3 linked regions of the Lonchura striata genome follow. The protein of the gene in region 2 interacts with the protein of the main gene of each other region in a pairwise test. Links are inferred from orthologs where the notes say so. Each region holds a gene or a part of one and is shown on either strand. Other genes may lie near its edges. The genes, in order: RNF216, UBAC1 and CPSF6.

Region 1 (7,318 bases), on a different chromosome or scaffold from region 2:
TCAAAACCATCTGCAAACAAACAAACAAAAAAATCTCCAAACTTCCAATGAGAGGAATGAGTGGTGCAGCTCTGACTGTCCCATAAAGAATGCAGCCAGTGGCAAGCCCCAACACCCAGCACTGCTGGCACTCACACACAATAAACCACTCACAATGGCTTTAGAAAGATATAAATAAAAATAAGACACCCATTCCAAATTAATGAATGGAAGCTTCTTCCAGCAGGCAACTAAACAACACCCAAAGGGCTTCACATCTCTTGCACTTGAATTTGTGCTACTCCAGGTTGCTAATCAGCTCCTGGCCCCTGGGATATGCTTCCTGCCTTCCTCCAGCTGCGCCAGAGCCGCCGGAATTGTGTGTTTGCCCCACCTATTCTTGCCACAGGACTTTTCAGTGATTTGTGTCCAATTTCAAAGCACAAGGCTCGCCAGCAGCAGGAACGCCCACCGCATTCTCAGGCAGACAAAACACTGGTCTACCCCGGAACTTGGACTTCGGAGGCAGCTCCTGAAACTCCAGCCCAGGAACAGGCTGCCAGCACCCTGCTGGAAACCAGACTGCACCTTATCACCAGTAACACCTGCCCCAAGTGCTCTTCTAGGAACTGCTGCTCCTGCCCCGACTGCCTGCAGCCAGGCCAACCAGAAGGAAAACATCCTCCTAGGAAGCAAGAAAAAGAGATGGAAGAAAGCCTGCTACCACAATGCAGCACCTCCAAGAAGGCTGAATGTCTACAGATCTTCAGGAAATCTGTCTGAGTCCCTTCCCAAGTCTTGGTGTTCCAGGCACAAACTCCTGTCAAGATGACGGTTTATGAACATCCAGTCACACCACGAAGACACCCAGCACATGAAATCTATTAACGTGTTTACAATTGCAGAAGGCCTGATGCAAGGCAGTGGATTTTTTGCACAGCATTCATCCTAGAAACTAAAAGCACACATTAAAGCTGTAAATCCCAGAGTTCTGGAATGAAAAGCTGTCCCTGCAATCCTACTAGTCCAAAACAAAACATGGTTTGAGCCTCTACCACAGGCCTTGTACCTGTTCAGGGATGTACCAGAACCTGCTCAAGATATTTGGATTTGCAAAATGATGGGTCTCAGATTTCCTGCCTCACATTCCAAGCAGGTTGCTGGAGGAAAAACCCTCATGCCATCCTCTCTGAAAGCAGGAGAGGCCACATTAGTTGAGCAAAGGCCAGTTTAAATGCCTGAGAGGGGACACCTGCCTTTCCCTCCACTGCTTCCACTGGAAACCTGCAAGAGCTCCAAAGTGCATCAGGTGGGAGAGCAGAGATTGTTAAGAAAGAGGACTCAAGCTCCACAGAGACAAAACAGAGAAGCAGAGATCTGCCCATAGGTCTTAGGACTGGCTGTGCCTCTCAGCCACCAAGAGACCCTCTAGAACTGCTAGGATTGCCTGAAGCAATCCTGTTCCATAGGGAAAGAAACACAGGAGGGAATACTCTGAAAATCACATGGACATCAAGCTTTAGTCCCTTAGTACCACGTCGGGATTATGGAAATAAAAGTGCACATCAATATGGAAATAAAATAAATAAATGGAAATAAAAAGCAACATCAGCTATTCTCTTTCTCAGGATAGCGACCAAACTGAACAGAAACATCAACAACTAAACTTATTTGTACGAAAACTGCTCTAAGCATCTGTCAGTAAGATTGTAAAGTAAGGTACTGGAGGACACTCAAAGAGAACACTCCAGATCATAAAGCACAAGTGAGATGAAAGGAAAAACTCCCCAGGCTGGGCTGGTAGGTGCAAGCAGCCATTATCCACCCAGGGTCCTATCCAGCACAGCTGCAAATCCCAGGATCTCTGGGATGACTCTTTAAGCCAATCCACATTTTGCCCACCCCAAAGCACTGCCCCAGGCGTGCTCACACTCCTCTCTTCACACACACGCTGGAGCTCCCACAGCTCTTCAGCCTCAGGAGACCTCGGTGAGATCCTGACCTGCCTCCAGCCTTCTGGGGGAACAAGGTCAGCTCCAGGGGCAGAAAAACTCATTACATAAACGCAGGGTACATTAACACTTCCAGGCTGTGCTCTACCACGGCTGGCTGGCACTTGGATCAATACAGAAAGGAAAGAAAAGGAAGAGGAGTATCTCTTACACTGATCCCTCAGCTCTGAGGACAGCTGTGTTTGGGGTTTCTTTCCTGCAGCAGCTCCCACAGCAGATTCCTGAAATGTCGAGATGTCCCAGCAGCACCGAGTGCTCCCACACTGAACAGGGGTCAGAAGAGAACAACCTTTTACTCTCCTCTCCTCACAAGCTCCAAGCACCGGGCCCGGGGTAGCCGGGGCAGCCCAAAGAGCCCCGGAGAGCAGCGCCTGTCCCCGGGTGTCCCTCGGGGCTGCGGGGGAACACGGGGAAGGGACCCCCTGGCCCCGGGAAGGGGGAGACGGGACCGGCCCTGAGGGGATGCAGGGCGGAGGGAAAGGACCCAGTCCTGAGGGGAGCTGGAGGGGGAGGGGGTGTCCCCGATTCTGAGGGAAAGCGAGGAGGAAGAACTCGGCCCTAAATGAAAGTGGAGGGGTACGGGAGGACGGACACGGTGGACCCGTCCCTTCAGGAAAGCGCTGGGAGGAACGACCCGTCCCTGACGGGAAGGACCGGCCCTGAGGGGAGGTGGGGGGGAAGAGAAACAGACGGAACGGACACCGGGCCCTGAGGGAACGCGGGGAGAACGACCCGTCCCTGAGGACAGGCCCCAGCCGGGAGCAGCGCCCGACCCCGCAGCGAGGAGAACGGCGAGGCCCAGGGACGGCAGCGCTGTCCCGGCACTCAGCGGCCCCGCGGGACGGAGGGGCCGCCCCGGTGTCGCCCCGGCACTCAGCGGCCCCGCGGGACGGAGGGGTCGCCCCGGTGCCGCCCCGGTGTCGCCCCGGCACTCACCGGCCCCGCTTCATTTAACCGCCGCTGCCGCCGCTTCCGCCCGGCCCGCGCCACGTGACCGCGCCGCCCCGCACCATAGAGAGCCAGCGAGGGAGCGCCAGAGCGGCGCGCGGGGACGGCGGCGCGGGCGGGCCCGGCACGGCCGCGCTACCATAGAGAGGGGCGGGCGGCGCCACGCCCCCTGCCGGGCGGGCGGTGTCCCGCGGGGAGGGGGCGCGGCCAGCGCCGCACGTGGGTGCGGGGCGGGGCCCGGGCCGAACTTTTTGGGGGGCTCAGGAATTTTGGGGGGTGCGGGACCCCTGTACGGGACCCCCCCACCGCGGTTCTGGGTGCTCGTGGAGGCCTAAGAGAATGGCAGGGAAGCGCTTCTTCCCCCCTCGGACACCGCGTTTTAGATGGGGACGTCCCGCAGGAAGAGTAGAAAATGGAATTTGAGGGATTTAAGTGGCTTGCCAAAGCCGCCAGAAAAGGAGATAGCCGATTCGTTGAGCTCCGCATGATTTCCTAAGAGAAATGGGATAATTTTAATTGACTTTTCAAGAGGCTCACGTCGTAGAGAAGTCCTGGAGCAGCCCCTCTACAGCACAGCCCACCCACTGGAGCTGGCTCCAGAGATTCTCCTCTCCCTTAGAGCCAAAAGGAAAGCAGAAATCAGGAAAATCTCACAAAAAGTACTTATTAAAGAAAACAGCAGTGTGTGACAGAGCACTGAAGGACTGACACGAACTCCTGCTCCAGGTAATGAAATCGTTCAGTCCCTGCCGCGGGCTGACGCGAGGGGTGGCTGCAGCAGCTCCCCGGTCATTTGTTCATATTGTGAAATTACTCAAAGAACAAAAAGCATTTTATTTGTACTCCCTCCTTATTTATTTATTAAACCAAATTATGGCCCAGCTTTCAGCATCAGGGAGGGAAGGCACTGCTGCAGCACACACCAACACTGAGCAACCTCCTCGGACTTGTTCCTGTCCTCCACTTGCAAAGCAGCAGTAATGAGGGAAAAAAATGCAAACAGGAAAGCAAGGATTCATCAACATTAGTGAATCTTTCTCCAGCTTTCATTAATGGGGAGATTACAATCTTTTCTGCAAATTGAGGTTTTGGTAAAGCATCAGGACAAATAATGAGAAAAGAAGGGAAAAAGGTGAATTACTGAAACAAAATGTTCTCCCTGCAGAGGAGGACTTTCATCTAGGCAGTCCATACAGATCTGTTAAATCAATTGCATTTTGATACTTTGTCCACTCTTTTCCTCTGATTCCCACAAATATTTTAACAAAAAAGCAGTGGCTACCAAGAGTTTAAAGTTGTGAGTTTATTGCATATGTAACAAAAATGAACATGACCTCCTGGGTCCAGCCTACTATACAATCACTGTTTATTCCAGCTGGTTCCATAACCACATTAAATAGAACTAGTATTTCTTTAAATACTTTGATTTAGACATAAAATGAAACATTAGTGTACAACTTCCACAAAATAAATCTGCAATAAAAACAGTGGGAAGAATAACAAGGATAGCAGCAATACTTAAACATGACATTACAAAATAATAAATTAAAAAAATACATTATAAAGTGGTTGAGGAACAACAACAACAACAACAAAAAAAAATTAACAGATTAAAACCAGATCCATACTGCGTTTCTGGGAATTTGCTGTGCCACACGGCCCCGAACCTGGGCACTGGCTCCAGAGGGCCCGGTGGCTGATCAGTAATTTACAAAATCTGTTGGATTTTACAACCACCTCGACTTGAACTGAGGACAAACTGCTGAGCTTCGAGCAGCCTTTTTGGAGCAGGGTCTTGTCTAACATAATGCCCAAGTGAACACTCACACCCAGCCAACAGTCTCGTTCCTCCCCGCTGGAACACACGAGCAGAGTGGTGTTTCCTACATCCCTGAGCGTAGAGTAGAGGCTGAGGAGCAGAAGCAGGGCACGGCTGATGGAGCAGCTGTGGCTGTGCCGTGGGACAGGAATGACAGACACGCTGTACCTTGTATTTCCTTCGGGTCAGATCCAAGAGTGTCCGTGCACGCGGTGGGACGTGGAATGACAACATGAACACGCGACTCCATGGTTTTCTTTGGGCAAGTTTGAGAAGTAACAACCAAGTTCAAGTGCTGGCAGACCGAGTGGGAATGGACACAAATTCAGACAGCTGAGGTTATCCCAGACCTCTGAGAGCCACTGGCTCCAGCCATGCTGTTGGCATTTTGTCCTTCTCTGGCCTTGGAAGTGGGCATGGGAAGAACAGCCCATGGCTCCGAAGCCATTCTGCCTCACTCCTTGCTGTTCCTCCATCCACCCAACCAGCTTTAAGGTCTGCCTCAAAATGCATGTACAGAACAAGACAAAAAATGTCTTCATCGTCACTGAAGTGGCACAAAATTGCAAAGACAACACAACGGGAGAGGTGGTGAAGCTGTTGAAAAGAGAACTGAAATAATTTAAAAGACAGTGCCCTATTCTCGTTACTGTCAGCACGGAGGAGGTACCTTGACAAGGGCTTTTAAATACAGCAAAAAACAGACGGACTTTTCGAAACAACAATCCTTGCCTATTCTTATTTTGTGCATTCAATAAAACACTGACCTAGCAAAGACATTAGGAACTATCTTATGTCAACTGGGTCGTTGACATAAAGCTACTTGACCTATAGATCTCCAAATCAGGGGCCTTTCCCTTCACCTCACTTGGTTTGTACTGAGCCAGTTGTGCTGCAGGTGTGACAGGATTTTTATTAGGGGTGGGTTTTAGTATCTGGGCTTTTGGGGTTTTTTTACACTTCTTTTAGTGAAAAACCCACATGAGACTGCATGCAGAGCTTTTGGGCAATAATCAGTTTTGCATTTTTACTATCTGACTGGTTTATTGCACATTCAAACGTACTGAAAGGATTAAATACACTCTATGAACAGGTTTGACTTCAAAGCAATTTGGAAAATCCAGGGTTGTGGGAACTCTGCTTCTCAGCCTGGGACCGTAGGGATGCTGTCTGCCAACTGCTGCACATCCCAACAACCAGAACTGCAGAAACTGGTCTCCAAGTGCCAAAAGATCCCTACAGAACAGGGGGCTGAACATACCTCTCCTGTACAGTCCTGCAGGATGAGCATCTTTAGCCACCCTGTGCAAATCTCACATTATGGTACAATTTTACACCTCCGATGCGACTCCCGACGACAAATCACAAGAATTATGGTCAATGGCAAAAAGAAAACCACAAACAAACAAAACAGAGATAGATGCCAGGTTTTGACAAGTGTCTACTTTCTGTCCTATCACAGTTTAAAGCTATTACCAAATGCAATTAAATAAAAAGACAAAATAGATGTATTCCAGTAGACATCTCCTAAAGACAGTCTCTTACCCACAGCTGAATTTCAATGCACTATTCCATTAATGTTACATCTGTTAAGTGGTTCAGTCATGAATCTCTCTAAAAATCAGGCTTGCCAAAGAAAAAAAAATCCTATACAAGCAAGCCTGCTTAAGTTTAGACATGTTTGATAGATAACTGGGTCTCTCTGAAGCCATGTTATTTGTTAAAATACCGTCTCATCTTGGTGTGCCAACTGGAAAAATGTTAGTGATTGAGTGTCTTAGGTTACAATGTAGGATGTAACCAAAGGTATGTATTCTATCACAATCTCCTAAAACCATCTGGGGCAGTGTTCTTTATCTCTTCCATGACACATCCCTGATAACTCCCTCTGGGGGAATTATCTTCTGTTAATGGGTCATTAAGCCTCAATGCATGACTCATAAAATCACATCACCCACTGTGAGATGCTCCACCCAGGGGGAGGAACCAAGCTTCCTACCTGGATATAATCTGAGATTTGGACCACCACAGGCAGCCCTTACCTACTGCATTCCCAGAGGACAAGAGCTACATAATCACCACTGGACCTTCAGAGGAAGACCAGACCCTTCTACAGGACCACTGCTTCAACAGAACCACATTGATCACTTCATCAGGACTGCAGCCACCACTAACTTGGGCTGCCACCACCACCCTGACCAACAGGGTGTCAGGTCCTATCCTGACTGTCACTTTAAACCAGTGTTTCTGTATTATTGCCTTGTTATATATGCTAGTAAAGAGCCATTATTCCTATTTCTCCTATCTTTGCCTGAAAACCCCTTAATTTCAAAATTATAATATTTTGGAGGGAAGGAGGTTACATTTTCCATTGCAAGGGAGGCTCCTGCCTTCCTTAGCAGACACCTGTGTTTCAAATCAAGACATTCAGGTATTGTATTTGCTTCTGTTACCCCTGTGTTAGAGAACAAACCTTTTAATATTAGTTTCAGATATTGGAAAAAATAGCCTTATGGCTCTCTGGAGAAATTTTCATCCCTACATAACTGAAGTAATAAAT
Region 2 (7,308 bases):
GGCTGGAGAGAGAAGGGGTTTGATTTGGAGAAAACATGTCTGCTTCATTATCCCGCCCGTTATCATATTTCTTCCCTCGGCAGCGGCGGGAGAAGAGTGGATACACAAGTCCTGGATGACATGATGGAGCATCCCACAGGAGTTGTCTCGATAAATTCTGAGATTGCCCAGGAAAAGCTGGGGGGGGGGGGGGGGGGGGGGGGAAGGTGTGTAATTTTCAGTCTCTTTTATTCCTCCCACTCTCAGACAATTTAAAAGAGATTACGGGGTTTGCTGGTGTGGATTCCCCCGAGCTGGATGTTCCCACTCTGCCAGCACTGCCTGCTTTGGAATCAGCTCCTTGGAGTCCTTGCAAGAGAAGAAACGAGCCCAGGAATGGGACTGGGGAGGGCTCTGAGGTCCTGCTCCCACACCTCTGCTCCTTGGGTAGGGAGGTGTCAGAATCTGTGGGATTAATGATTCTGAGATCGTAGAAAGTCTCTGTCTGTCAGCCCCCTGCCAAAGCAGAAGCCATAATTGGTCTGTGCTGGTTTCCAGGTTGTTTATTCTGTTTATCTCTCACATGTTCTGCTGCCCTGCCCAGCTCTGTCCTGCAGGGCAGCGTGTGGGGCTCTGCCCTCAGTGGGATGTGACAAACATTAAATACCAGAAACTCCCTGGGCTGCATTTACAAGAACGTGCCAATATCTGTCACCTACGTTGGACAGTGTGTCCCCAGCCTGAACCAACAGAAAAATGCCAACACCACAGTGAGACATGGAGGGCATGAAGAAGGAGAAAAAGGACAAGGCACACCAAATTTTCTCCATCTTGTCCCCTTTGGACCCCTCATCTAGAATCCTAAAATTTTACTTTTTCACCCGTGCCACACTTAATTATCACTTCTATAAAACACTCAGAGCTGCTAATTTATGCTGTAAGATTGAAAACTCTTTTCCATGGCCAGAGATCACAGCCAGTGTCTCTGGGGCTCTGTCCAGGGGGTTCCTGACCCCTGCCAGGGTCCCAGGGCAGCCAGAGGGAAGCTCTGCATTCCCACAGGGAGGGACCCTAAAACTCATCCCATTCCACGCCCTGCCATGGCAGGGACACCTCCCACTGTCCCAGAGTGTTTTCCAAACCCTGTCCAACCTGACCTTGGACACTTCCAGGGATTTGGCAACCTGTGCCAGGGCTTCCCCATGCTCACAGAGAAGGATTCCTCCCTCAGATCCCATCTAACCTGCTCCCTGTCAGTCTGAAGCCATTCCCCCTTGTCCTGGCTCTCCACCCCTGTGAAAAGCCTCTTTTTGTGTTCCTGGTCAGCTCCCTGGTATTTTTGTTTCCTGCAGGAATATTGAGCTGCTCTCCCACTATTCCCCTGCACCACAGAGGGTGTTTGAGGTATTTGAGGTGTTTGAGGGCTGTGGGCTCTGTCCCCCCAAAACTGGAGCAGAGCCAGGCCAATGCTGGGGAACAGGGAAGGATCCTGGATGCAGCCACGGGAAATAATTCCCCTGGGGATGTGAAATAATAATAATTCCCTTTCCTCGAAGGGAAAGAGCTGCTGATCCCCCTTTTCTCATCCCCACGTTGGTCTCTGGCCATAATGGATCAGCCATAAAAAGCGAGTAACACACTGTGCTCTCATTCCTTTGGCTTTGGACAGTACCAGCGTAGCAGACACATATTGTTTATTTATTCTGCTGTGGAGCAAGGCAAGGAGGCAGTGCCCAGTGTTTCGATGGGGTGTTTTTAAATGCTTCCATTCCCTGGGCCCTTATGATGCATTAGCCATCAGTAGTCAAATTGCCTCATATTTGCAATTTTATGGGTTCATTTTATCAAGCACACTGGAGCTGCATTCAAAGCACGGAAATAAAGTATTCCACTTTTGTTAGGCAAGAGCTGCTTCAATGCAAGAGATGGCCAGAGAGCAGAAATCTCTTTTTATTTTCCCTGCCTTTGCTCCAGATTCATCCCCAGATATTGCTTCTCCTTTGCAGCAGAGAGCCCCTTTATGGCTGTGGAAGGTTCTGAGCACACCAGGAGCTCCCCACCTCTGGATTTGTCCTGCTGGGAATCTCTCCCTGCTCCCTGGTGCTTTAAAAGAACTCCCAGCAAAGCCTTGCCCTGCTTGTCCCCAATTCCAGCAGCTCTGAGTGGCACCTCCTGAGCCACCCCCAGACCTCAGCTCCCACCATGGGGCAGGGAAAGGTTGGAAGCAGCAAATCCACCAGGAATCAGTGGAAAAGAAACGTTCAGGGTGGATTTGGCGTCGGGCAGCTCGTGCTCAGCCCATCCCAAGGACTTGGGGTCACCCAGTCTCGGGGTCTGGGTGTTGGGGTGACCCCAGCAGTGTCAGAGTCCTCATTTCCCAGCCAGAGAAGGAGTCTGAATGTGTAGGATCAGCTCCTCAAGGTTATTTATTTTTCCTCCTTTCTCTGCCCTGCTGAGCTCTGTCCAGCAGCTCGGCTGTGCCATCCTGTCTGCCCTCAGAGCTGTGTTTATATTTTATAGAAAAAACTACCTGAACTATATTTACAATAATGTGCCAATATCTATAATTTATATTGGACAGTGTGTCTGTACCTTAAACCAACAGAAAAGTGTCACCAGCACAGCAAGACATGGAGGGCAAGGAGAAGGAGAAGAAGGCCAGGACATGCCCAAATCCATCTTGTCCCTTGAACCCCATTCCAAAAACCCCCAAAATTCCAAAGGAATAACTTTAAAAGTAATATTTGTTGTATATCTTTTATGGGTATGTATACGTTTTATTTAAAATAAGAACTTTGTTGTATGCTGTGTCTTTTCATTTTTAAGGTGTTTTTGAGTAAGGTTTGAAGAAATTAGCTTCTTCTGATAAGAAAATTATAAATTTTTTTGGAAGATGTAGGTGCTCTTTGAAGTGAGTATTTTATTCTTTTAAAAAATACTTTCTTTACATATATAGTCTCTATTTTAACATTATTTTGGAACTTAAAACTATATTTAACATGCTACTTAAGAGAATTAACATAGTATAACTTTCTAACATTACACATATACTATTTATTGTAATACTTGTGAAAAGCCAATCATAAAATATGTATTTTGCACAATATTATAAGACAATAAAAAGTAAAGCATTATGGATGTTTGAATGTTTTTGGATACTAAGTTATGGAAAGTATACTTTGTGAACAAAGGAATAACTTTAAAAGTAATATTGTGTTGTATATTTCTATATCTTTTATGGTTATGTATATATTTTATTTAAAATAAAAACTTTGTTTGTTGTTTGTTAACTGTTTCTTTTAATTTTTAAGGTGTTTTTGAGTTTGAGTAAGGTTTGAAGAAATAGCTTCTTCTGATAAGAAAATTATATTTTTTTTTTCCCGGAAGATTAAGGTGTTCTTTGAAGTGAGTATTTTATTTAAAAAAAAAAAAAAAAACCAAACAAAAAAACAACTTTCTTTACATATATAGTCTCTATTTTAACATTATGCTGGAACTTAAACTATATTTAACACGCTACTTAAGAGAATTAACACAGTATAACTATCTAACATTGCGCATATATTTTTATTGTAATATTTTCAAAAATCCAATCATAAGCCATGTATTTTTCACAATATCAAAGTTAACTTTGATATTAAAGCTTTAATAATACGATATCAAAAGGACCGAGGGCAGCGGGGAGCGGCGGCCCGCGGGCTCCCTCTACCGGCCCGCCGGGGAACTGCCGCTGCCCGCGGCCGCTCCGCCCGGCCCCGCTGGGCACGGCAGCACGGCCCGGTGCCTCCCGCCGTCCCGGGGGCTCCGCGACCCCTCCGCCCGGCCCCGCTGGGCACGGCAGCACCGCCCCGGTGCCTCCCGCTGTCCCGGGGGCTCCGCGACCCCTCCGCCCTGCCCGGGCCGCCGCGGGGACCCCCGAGCCTCACGGTGCGGAACTACAACTCCCGGCATGCACCGGGACATGGGGGGAGACGCCGCGATCCCACAATGCATCCGGGCAACTCCGTCATAACTGCGGCGCGGAGGTGCCGTTGATAAAAGGACTTAAACGTCATTAAACGTCAGTGCCGTTAATCGTTTATTGAAGGTTTATTAAAGATTTATTAAAGATTGAAAGCCTCAGGGGCGCGAAGGGGAGGAGGCGGGGGTTTTACTCCTTCACTTCCGGAGAAGCCCACCCCGGTAGAACTACACCTCCCAGCATGCCGCCGCGCTGCGCAGCGTTTCCGTTTCCGGCCGCGGCCGTGTCCCCGGAGGGACGGCGGGGCCCGGGCGGTGACAGCGGCGGTGCCACCGGGCAGGGCCGGGCCGGGCCGGGCACAGCCACCGCCGCTCCCCGGGCCGGGCCGCCGCTCCCCGGGCCGCCCGGGGTCACCTGCATGGGCGGGCGGGAGCGCGCGGCGCTGCCCGGGGCCTGCTGAGGCGGCGGCGGCGAAGCGCCGGGAGCGGGACCGGGAGCGATGTTCGTGCAGGAGGAGAAGATCTTTGCGGGGAAGGTGCTGAGGCTCCATGTGTGCACCATGGAGGGCGCCGAGTGGCTGGAGGAGGTGGCCGAGGACACCACGGTGGAGAAGCTGAAGGAGCGGTGCCTGAAGCACGTAAGGAGCGGGAGCGGGGCCGGGCGGAGGCGCCGGGGTTGCTCTGGGGGCTGGGAACCAGCAGGGAACGACGGGGAAACAGTCCCGGCAAAAGGAAAATTGTCCCCCGAGGAAAGCTGGCTTTTTTTTTTTTTTTTTCAACGCCCTGTAAATGGTTTTTAAAAGAGGATGGGGTAAAAAATCAGCTCAGGTGGGCAGGTGGCTTTGTGCGCCGTGTCTGCTTTTCCCCAAGGATTGCCTGGAACTGCTCCGTGTGGGAATAAAATAAATCCGCCTTCTGGAGAGCTGTGTGTGTTGGCAGAGGGGGGTTTGGGCAGGGATCGCTTGGGGATGTTTTGTTCCAGAGTTTGGGGTGTGTTTTGGGGTGTCGGAGCAGTCTGTGCTGTGTGAGTTGAACTCCATCCTGGTTTTTCTGTGGCTGAGCAAAGGAAGAAGAAACTGAGAACTGAAGAGCACAAATTGCCTGCTCTGTTAAAATCCGAGTGCAGCCTCCCCCTGTGCTGGCACTGAGGCGTTTCTGGGGGAGATCAAATGCCTCCTAACGCTCTCCCCGTGCTTTAAACAGGGAGATTTTGGTGGAGGTGGCCAAAGTGTCACCGTGTGGCAGGAGATTGTGCCCAGGGGCACAGGCAGTGCCAGGCTGCTGTCCCCAGAGCCCCACACACTGTGGGAGTGCTGGCCTGACTGACAGCAGCAGCGTGTGACACGGTGACCCGTGGCCAGGAGCCTGGGCTGGCAGCTGCACTCCTGACCTGCTGCATTTCTTCCTGGGGCTGGCAAGAGCTGGAGCCTCAGCCTGTCCCTGGGAGCACAGTTCACTAAATCACATTTAATGGTGTGGGGGGGTTTGCCTTCAAAGTCCTACAAAGATTTCTTTTTACATAAAACCTGTGCAATAGGAGAAAATCCTGTATTTTCTAACCGCTTAACTCCCGTTTGAAGGGTTAAATTTTTATTTCCTGGGTGAAATAAAGGTGCCCAGGATCCCTTCCAGTACAGGGAGAGAGGGATGGAGTTCTACAGGACGAGGGGGAATGGCTTCACACTGCCAGAGAGCAGGTTTAGGCACAATTTGATAACTCAGGGTGATATTTGATTTCAATCTCTGCTGCTTTGTGCAAAAATCCATCCTGGAGTGGATTCCCATAACCATAATGGATAATAAATGGTTTTATGAGGGGGAAAACAGATCTGGAGAAATCACAGCTCCTGCTCATGGACTGAATCTTGATAACACCTTGAGATCATTTCTGCAGCCACCTCTTCCAAGAGACTGATGAGTCTGTTCCTGAATGTCTCTGAAATTTGAAATCTTTCAGGAAGCAGAGGGAGATGTTTGTAACGGATTGCAGCTGGGGAAGTGGCCACTTTTCCCTCCATAACCTTCAAATGCTGGCTGATCTCTGAAGTGCCACTCTGGATGTCTTTATCTCCCCCAAATTTGATGTTTTGGGCTCTTTAGTTAGGCAAAGAAACAAACCTCTCCCACTGGTTTTCCCCCATTTGTTTAAACAGATGGTTTCAACCACCCAAGTTTAATAGGAGGGAGTGTCAGGGCTACTTTCAAATGTTTCTGTTATTAAAAGCAAGAAAAAAAAGAAGCCTTTTTTTTTGTATTTTAAAACAAACAAAGCTTTGTGGTTTTACCAGGATTCCAAGCTTTGCAAGAGGTGTTTGGCATCACCAGGGCTTAGGATTTCAGCAGTTGCTTGGGCACCTGTGATAAATATTTGTCCCCTGCCAGGCAGAGCAGCCTGCTGGGAACTCCAAAACTAAAAAGCAAAGGTGAGAATGAGTAAAGGCACTTCTGGTCAGGTGTTTTTTTCTATTTCCAGGGCATTTAAAATGTGAATATAAGCCATCTTGAGTGTCACTGATAAGTGTTTCACTCAGCAGCCTCTTTGGTGTCTCTAGTGCCCATATCTGCCCTGTTATTCTCTGCAGTTGTTATCAAAATGGTTGGAAGAACTGGAAATAAGATTTGGTGGCCACAGAACTTTATTTTTTTGCTTAAACTCTTACCTGATTAGTTTTATGATTAATTACTGCCCACATCTATTATGTGATTGTCCTACATACTTTTTTATATGTGGTGGGGGAAATGGAAGTAGGTCTGTGTGCCCACCCCAAAAACACCTCCCAGCTGCCCTTTTCAGCTCCTCCTAGCTCAGGATCTGTCCCAGGAATATTCTGAGCTGCTTTGCAGAGATGTTCCACTGATGTCCCCAGGCATTTTGGGCACCTTATCAGATCCATTCCAGGAGGTGCTCCCAGCTGCTGATGTGTTCTCTGGCCTTGGTTCAGACTTCATGGGCTGGAGGCTCCCTGAGAGGCTCCTGTCAGACAAAGCAGGACTCAGATATTCTCACCTCAGTCTCACTGAGGCATCAGAACCAAAGTTCAGGTGAGAATCTGTATTGGGAGCAAGAGTGTTTTGTTGGACAAACAGCAGGGAGCTGAGTTTTCCATCAGTTGCAGGCAGCAGGGAAGGTGGTGATGGAGTCAAAATGCTCCTTTGCAGGAGGCTGGTGAAGAACAGCACTAAATGCTCCACCGAAATTAGGATTTTCAGTGGGATTTCTGGGTGCACAAAAGGTGCACACTCTCTTCTGCAGACATGGTGGAAGTGGCTTGGTGGAAATATTTAGAAGTGTCATTAAAAGCAGTTTGCTGTGGGCACAGCAGGCAAGGTCAGTATGAAGTGTCCTGTTTTGTGGTGAGAACAGCAGCA
Region 3 (7,273 bases), on a different chromosome or scaffold from region 2:
AGCTCTCTGATTAGCAGCTCATATGAAAGTGGATTCAAATGAGGCAATTGAATTTATTATCACCTTTTGCACTATACTTACCTTCTCTAATACACTTTCCTGCCTTGAGGGTTAGAAGATGCATACTATTTGCAAATCATATCCTGATTAACCACCATTTTCAACCTGGCTCTGAACCACAGAGTGAACAGCTGAACCAAGATAATCAGTAGACTGACAGGCACTTATAGAGGGGAAAAAAGATGGAGCACAATGCTCACATGTATGATCCCAAAACAATTGAATACCTATAAAAAGACAACTCTGAGCAAGCGATGAATAATGCCAGCTATTTTCCTACAATAGCTCTGTCAGTAGGAGTTCTTGTAGATGCCCTTTGGATGCAGTTTTATATTACACTTAATCCAATCTAACTGTGAGCTGCAACCAAAAGATGAGGTAATATTCCCTCTTTCCCAGCACAGGCTGTTGCTACCTTTGTTGGGAACACAATTGTCTCTTTTCATTTCAGCCTGCAGTTACACGAGAGTTAACAAAACCTGAAATTTTGGCCTCTGAAAGCAAATATGCAGAATTGAGCCTATTTGCCATCTCATTTAGAATATATTTTTTTTTTCTCACATTTTTGTCTGTGGACTTTTATAAACTAAGGCATTTAAGTGGAAAAAACTATTTCTTACAGCTTAGTGTACAGGCTTTCACTATTTGGATATTTTACTGGGAGAAAAACAATAAAAGGGCATGCAGAGTGGCTCCAAGAGGATTTGGAAAGATCAAAGCCTTCAGGTCTACAAGTAAAGAAACAAAACAGTCATTGCAATTGGACTGACATAGCTAGGACATAAGTTTATATAACAAAACATACACTGCACTCCTTAACTAAGCTGAGGTCTCCTCTGATTTTGAGTACTATCCTGATTAACACAGCACTTTTTCATAGCTTATCTTTTCACTTTGTTGCCTACAACATTACTGCATTGTGAAAAATGCATATTTTATGATTAGCTTTTTGCAAATGTTACAAGAACAGTTTATGCTGATATTGAAATAAAAGTCCATTTGAAAAATCCTGCACTATTCTCAGTCTTGATTCCTCAGGCAAATTCTACATAAAATTATTTTTCGAAATATAAATATATATTTTTGCCATGTTGATACTGGCAAAAATAGGTTAATGTTTAAAAGCATTATTATATTGAAACTGGTTCTCCCATTCTTAACTAAAGTAATATATTTAAGTATTTTTGAGATAATCACATACAATACAAAGGGCTGGTAAAATAGCTCTCCTCCCCTTTGTCTTGCAGCAGGAACATCCTAATAGAAAATGGTCTGAAATGCTTTGAAGAGGAAGGTATGGGGAGTTCTGTTGGCTAACAAGATGTATGTTACAAGATCCTCAGAGAACCAACTGCTGCTTTTATGTTCAAAATGAGGATTATATCCGAATTTGCATCATTAACAGCTCAAGAGACCAAAGGAACGATATACAAGTAAATAGGCTTTTGTGTATCCATGAGAAAGAGGGACTTGAAGGCTACCTTCCTTTGTAGAACTGCTACAGTGCCTTTCCCACCTTCTTTTGCTATTAAGGGAGTTCCAGCTGCCATCATCAAATGACAGAACATCCCACGGTGTGAAAGAAGAACTGAAGGAAGACACCAGTTCATCTGCTGCCATTTGTTCCCATGGTGGGCTAAGTGTTTGAAAGGTTTGTGATTACTTCATGCGTAGTGGCTCCTGCTGTCCCCAACAAAACTTATGAGGACACTTCGCCAAGACCATGTTGTACTGCCAAGAATTCTTTATCTAATGATCACATTTCTGTTTCAAGCCCTGCTTCACCTCAGCCAGCCTCCTGAATTTTACTGGGTGAAGGATGGAACATTTTGTTTAAATAATTTAAATGTGTACAATACATAAAGCATTAATATTTTCACTGGAGTAGACCAACCCTGAAGTTGCTCCCTTGAGGCACAGTAATTCACAAAGAAGCTATTGATGACCACAAGAAAGAGGAAGACGTATTTAGCAAGTCTATCCATGGAAAGAATGAAAACACAACAAAAATGGAACAGAACAGCTTGCATAATATTTAGTCTCCTACATTGCCTACAGAATTTACTTAGTAATATGCATACAAGAATAACAATTATCATAATCTATTCTGTAAATGACTGTGCACAGTAAATCTAGCAAGTCAAACTATTAAAAAGGGCTCCAAAGTGGAAAAAACTCCTGAGCATGAAACAGCATATGGGGGTCCAAGGGCTTCACTTCATTATCACAACAAGCAAAGCAGAGGCTGATGTTTTTTCCTGCCTCTTCAAAGGCCCCACACGAGATCGTTCAAATGCTAGTGGTAATCCCTGAGGTGGTTCTGATGACTTTCATTCATATTTTATTATCTTGCCTTTTTAAACTACCTATGGATAATACTCAGATGAATATAAAACATTCAATTGCATATGACCTACTATCTGCTGTTATTTTTTAATCTGATCATTAGGATAGCAAGGCTTAGGTTGTCTTGATTTCAGCAGCTTTATTTAGCATGGCCAGAAGTGGTGACTGTCACAGCGCTTCACTTTACTCTCTAGAAGACTAGTTACTAAATCAGTTCACCATTAGGGAAGTAAGTGAACCCAAACAGATCTCAATACTTTAACAGCATCTGTATGGACTGTGAGAAATCCAGAAAAGTGGATTCTCTTTGCAAAACCAGTCAATCATTTCATTCACCAGTAATTTGTGCATTCATAGATGTGAACATGTACTTTTAACCTGTGATAAATGTAGTAGTGTAAATCACAATTGTAACCAACACTAGAAGTTCAATTAAGATCCCTTGTTTGTATGTTCCTAACTACCACCTCTAAAATGTTTGGGGTTTTTTTGATGTTTTTTTGTTTTGTTTTGTTTTGTTTTTTTGTTTTTGTTTTACCAAAGGGCTCACAATCTGCTAGTTCATTTAACCTGGAAACTTCAATAAAAACCCTTTAACCCTTTTCCGTCTTCCAGAATTAACAGCAGGAATGACACAGGATCTGCAGCTGACAAATTTATCATTTCACCAGTTGGATAACGACACCAGGAATAACCCAAGCATCTCCATATCTGAAATCTATCTAGACTGTCAGCAGGTGCGCTCCACAACATATGCCTTGTTTTGGATCTCCGATTTTTTATCTATTTTTTTGTCTATTCATATTTCTTTTCCATGGGCACTTCAGTGTGGGATTGCTAGACAGGGATGATCTGCACACAGGTCCAGGACCCAAGATGAAGTCAGTACTTTGGATGCCAATCCAAACACTGTGAAGTATTTCCAGTCATGAAACAAGAAAACTTGAGTCATGCTAAAAATAACATTTTTATTCATTGCAGTGATGTTTTTACATTATTTTAATTCAGTCTGAGATGCACAGGCTTCTTATTGTCAGCTTTTGATAAAGTAAAAAAAGCAGGTTTATTTTTGGATGTGGAACACAATGTACAAAGCAGAACATAACCTATTATGTAGAGCATTATGTGCACTGCGCTTCATATACCAGGAGATGTTTCTAAAAATCACCTGGAGTTTAAACATGGATCTGGGTAACAGAACATTCATTCAAAATTAATTTGAAGCTGTCCTGCAACCCTAACAGTTCAAAATGCACAACAAAAACAAACAACACCGAAAGAAAGAACCCCGATTGACTTGACATTAATTATCTTCACTTTGTGACGTTAAAAAAGAGTGCTCTGCGGCAGCACAGCAGAGCCGTGGCTAAATGCAGTTCGGCGTGTGCCTGTTTTGTGTCCTTGCCGCACATTTCACTGCGCTCCGGAGCCCGGCGCGCCCCTGCTTTGAAGGCGCAGCGCGGTGCTCATTTTCAGCCGACAGCCACAGGCCTCGGCTGCTGAGCACCAAGGCGCTGTGACTGCGCTGGAGCTCCCTTCCCGGAGCGCGGCGGAGCGGCACACCGGCCTGCGCCCCGCAGCGCCGACACCGACACCGACACCGACCTCACCGCCCGGCACGGTGCGGCCGGCGCAGCCCCGCCGAGCCCAGCAGCGCGGAGCAGGGCCGGGCCGGACGCGGCAGCAGCAACGCGGCCCCGCCGGGCGGGGAGCGCCCGGGGCGGGGCGGGGCGGGGCGGGGCGGGGCGGGAGGAGCGGCCCGGCGCCGCCGCCGGCGGAAGCCCCGCCGCGCCGCCGCGGAAGTGACGGCCCGCTCCGCCTCCCCGCTCCCTCCCCCTCCCGGCGGCGGCTCGGGAGCCGGGCGCGGCTGGCGGCGGCCCCGGGCGGGACCATGGCGGACGGCGTGGACCACATCGACATCTACGCCGATGTGGGCGAGGAGTTCAACCAGGTACGCGCGGCCGGCGGGCGCGGCCTCTCCGCTGCGCTCCCCTCTGCGCTCCCCTCCCTCGCCCGCCTTCGCGGCCGCGCCGCCTGCAGGGCCCTCAGCGCGGCGGCCGCAGCGCCGCCATTGTTCGGGCGCTCCCGCCGCCGCCGGGCGCGGGCCCGCGCGGGGCCGGGCGGGCGCGGCCCCCCGCCCGGGCCGCGGGTGCCGGCGGCGGCCCGGCCGGGCGGGGAGCGCGCCCGGCGCTGAGGGGCGGCTGTGCCGGCGGGCTGGGCGCGCCGGGGGCGAGCGCCTTCCTTCTTTCCTTTCCTCGCTGTTCCGTTTCTGCCAGCCTTCCTCCCTCTCTGCCTTTCTTTCTCAGGGCCGCTCCGGAGGGCTCTTCCGCGCCGGCTTGGCGGGCGGGGCCCTCCCGGATGCGGCGGGGAGAGCGGCCCCTTCCCGCCGGGGCGCAGGGGAAGCGCTGCCATTGTTCGTAGATGAATCGAAAAGCCGCCGAGCGGTGTCTGTTCCTCGGCCGCGCTTTGCGGGGGAGGCGGAACTAGTGCGGCTTTATTCTGCAGCACTGGAGAGAGTATCCAGCTTTTTGTATTTCCTTTTTTGTTTTTCTTGCTTGTTATTCCATTCTAAAAAGTGACACAAGCCTTTTTTAGAGGGTGAGTTCATATTTTGTTGAGGCAATATAGATGAAATATGAAACTTCTCTGGATTATAAGTAGTCCTCTTTTTTTCTAGGTGTGTTTGGTTTTTTTGGTTTTGTTGTGGATTTTTGGTGTTTTGTTTGTGTTTTTCCCTCATCTTTACCACACAGCCGTGTGCCAGCTTTCCTACCTAAACGCGATGGTTGTATGAGTTTTGCATGCCATCTGTCCTGTTAGCGAGTGCTGCACTTCTCCAGGTTGAGTTGCCCCAAATTGCTTTGTTCCTACCCTAGAGCATAAATAACCGGGAACAACTGCACTTTCAGGAACTTACGGGGCCCGGCTGTATGCCAGCTTGCCCTACAGAGAACTGGGAAATAAGCAATGGCTTTGGAATTCATAGGGAATATGTAACTTTCTCAGCAACTTGTAGCTTTTTTAGAAGACTATTTCTTCAGACATCGATTAATACAGTAATTCTGAGTATTAATAATCTCATAAAGGTGTACTCAGAAAGAGTGCCATACTAAAAGGAGATGATGAAAAGCACTGATTTGCTCTTATTTTGTCTGTATGTGAAGGTTTCTCCCTTACAGTTGAAGACCCACTGTATGAATTTAAACAGGAATGAACCCTAGGGCAGACACCATTCAGCAGAAGAGTACATTTTTGAGGTTCTATGATAACTTGAATTTGGTTTAATCAATTCTAAATAAAACTGAAAACAAAGGAGATTTTTCAGAGAAAAAACCCTCACTTGAATCTGGTAGTGTTTGTGTAAATTCATGTGTGCAGAAGGGCTCAGAGTAGAATAGTTATGTGCTGTAAGAGATAGTGCTGGAACAAAAGTGATGGGGATGATCTGTTTCACTCACACGGTCCTGGTCTACTTAGGTCTCAGGTAGTCATTACTGTTGATATTCTATATAACCATGGTGTTACAAATGAAGAGAGTCTTGTGATAATTTAGTTTAGCTTAATCCAGCAGGCAGGGAACCCTTTTGCTTTTTCTCTGTATTCACTCCAGTTGCTTCCCTTGTGGGTTTGCATTTCTGCAGTTTGTTGTTTCAGTTCATAAATCTTGCAAAATACAGGGCAGAAAGGTGAGAAGAGGCTACTGCCCTTTTTCCATCAGCTTAAATTTGGGGGTTTTGTTTGTTTGTTTTAGGGGGTTTTCTTCTGTGTTTTTGACTGTGGCACACACCCCCAAAAATTGCTGTTTGTTATTTTCCAGATTTAATTTCTGTGACTTTTTATTTAAAGTAATATTGTTGAACTGAGTAAGTCTGGAGACAATATAAAAGTTTTACTTTTGTAAAATTGTGAGAGATTGATGCCTCTGCACTTTGGCATTTCCTTCTGTCATATGTGAAAGAGAGTTGTATTAGTTACTGCCTCTTAATTCTGACATCATTGAGAAAAGGTGTGTAGAAACTTTTATTAACAAAGTGCTGTTCCTGATTTGAAGCTGACAGCTTAAATGGATAATACAGAATTATGTGGATGTGTTAAGATGACAGTTAAAAATGCTTTAGGAAGAAAGTGATTTCCATTATTAATTTGATTTTGTATTTTTACAATTTATGCATTTTACAAACACCATATTTGTAAAATAAATTGGTTTTATCTGTTAAATGAACTTGATTTTTGATTTTGTTGTTCTACATGAATGTGACGTACTAATATTTTTTAAATTGGAGTATAGAAACCCTTTCCACTAGTTTTGGCAGGGACTGAAAAATGTGCTGTGGAGCTTGCTGTTCTTCTCTATGCAGTACATAACTGTATTTATACCCAAGCTGGGACAAGACTTGTGTTTGCATCTGGAGTTAACCCTTCATTTAGATTTAGGACTTATTAACTGGATAAACTTCCCTTGGTTATTTTGTCTTGTTCTACACCTCAAGGTACTCATCCTTGAGGCTCTTCTGGGATTTTTTTAATGCCTTTTTCCAAGTAGGTGGAGGGTAAGGTTGTTCTGCTTGATTAGTGCTAAATGAACCATAGGTTATAAAGGTGAAATAAAGACCACAGAACCATGGGTTTACAAGCTGGCTAAGATGGATGATAGCCATAAACTGTCATGGGTTGTATTTAGTTTTGGTTACAAAACTTGATAAAAAATCTTTTGAGTGAAGATGCATCTTTCCTATTCCAGCTGAACCTCATTGTCTGTCAGTGTTGCCTCTTTTATTAACTTGTTGTTCATGAAAATAATACTTTTTGTTCTTGGGCTAACAGCATTAGTCAATTTGGCTCTGACCAATTACAGTTTTGTTTAAAT

What was found.
Region 1: the proteins of UBAC1 (region 2) and RNF216 interact in binary tests that used the Homo sapiens proteins (3 or more experiments, as listed by UniProt). The link is inferred for Lonchura striata from reciprocal best matches to the Homo sapiens genes UBAC1 and RNF216.
Region 3: the proteins of UBAC1 (region 2) and CPSF6 interact in a two-hybrid assay, tested with the Homo sapiens proteins (2 studies listed by BioGRID and IntAct). The link is inferred for Lonchura striata from reciprocal best matches to the Homo sapiens genes UBAC1 and CPSF6.

The regions. Positions count from the first base shown.
Region 1 is NC_134618.1:14,784,360-14,791,677, forward strand, and holds the start of RNF216 (E3 ubiquitin-protein ligase RNF216), read right to left. Parts: upstream 3,040-7,318; 5' UTR 2,928-3,039; intron 2,255-2,927; exon of another isoform or gene 2,143-2,254; intron 1-2,142.
Region 2 is NC_134624.1:9,223,448-9,230,755, forward strand, and holds the start of UBAC1 (ubiquitin-associated domain-containing protein 1), read left to right. Parts: upstream 1-4,307; 5' UTR 4,308-4,439; coding exon 4,440-4,577; intron 4,578-7,308.
Region 3 is NC_134607.1:44,500,500-44,507,772, forward strand, and holds the start of CPSF6 (cleavage and polyadenylation specificity factor subunit 6), read left to right. Parts: upstream 1-4,220; 5' UTR 4,221-4,297; coding exon 4,298-4,357; intron 4,358-7,273. UniProt on the Homo sapiens protein: Component of the cleavage factor Im (CFIm) complex that functions as an activator of the pre-mRNA 3'-end cleavage and polyadenylation processing required for the maturation of pre-mRNA into functional mRNAs.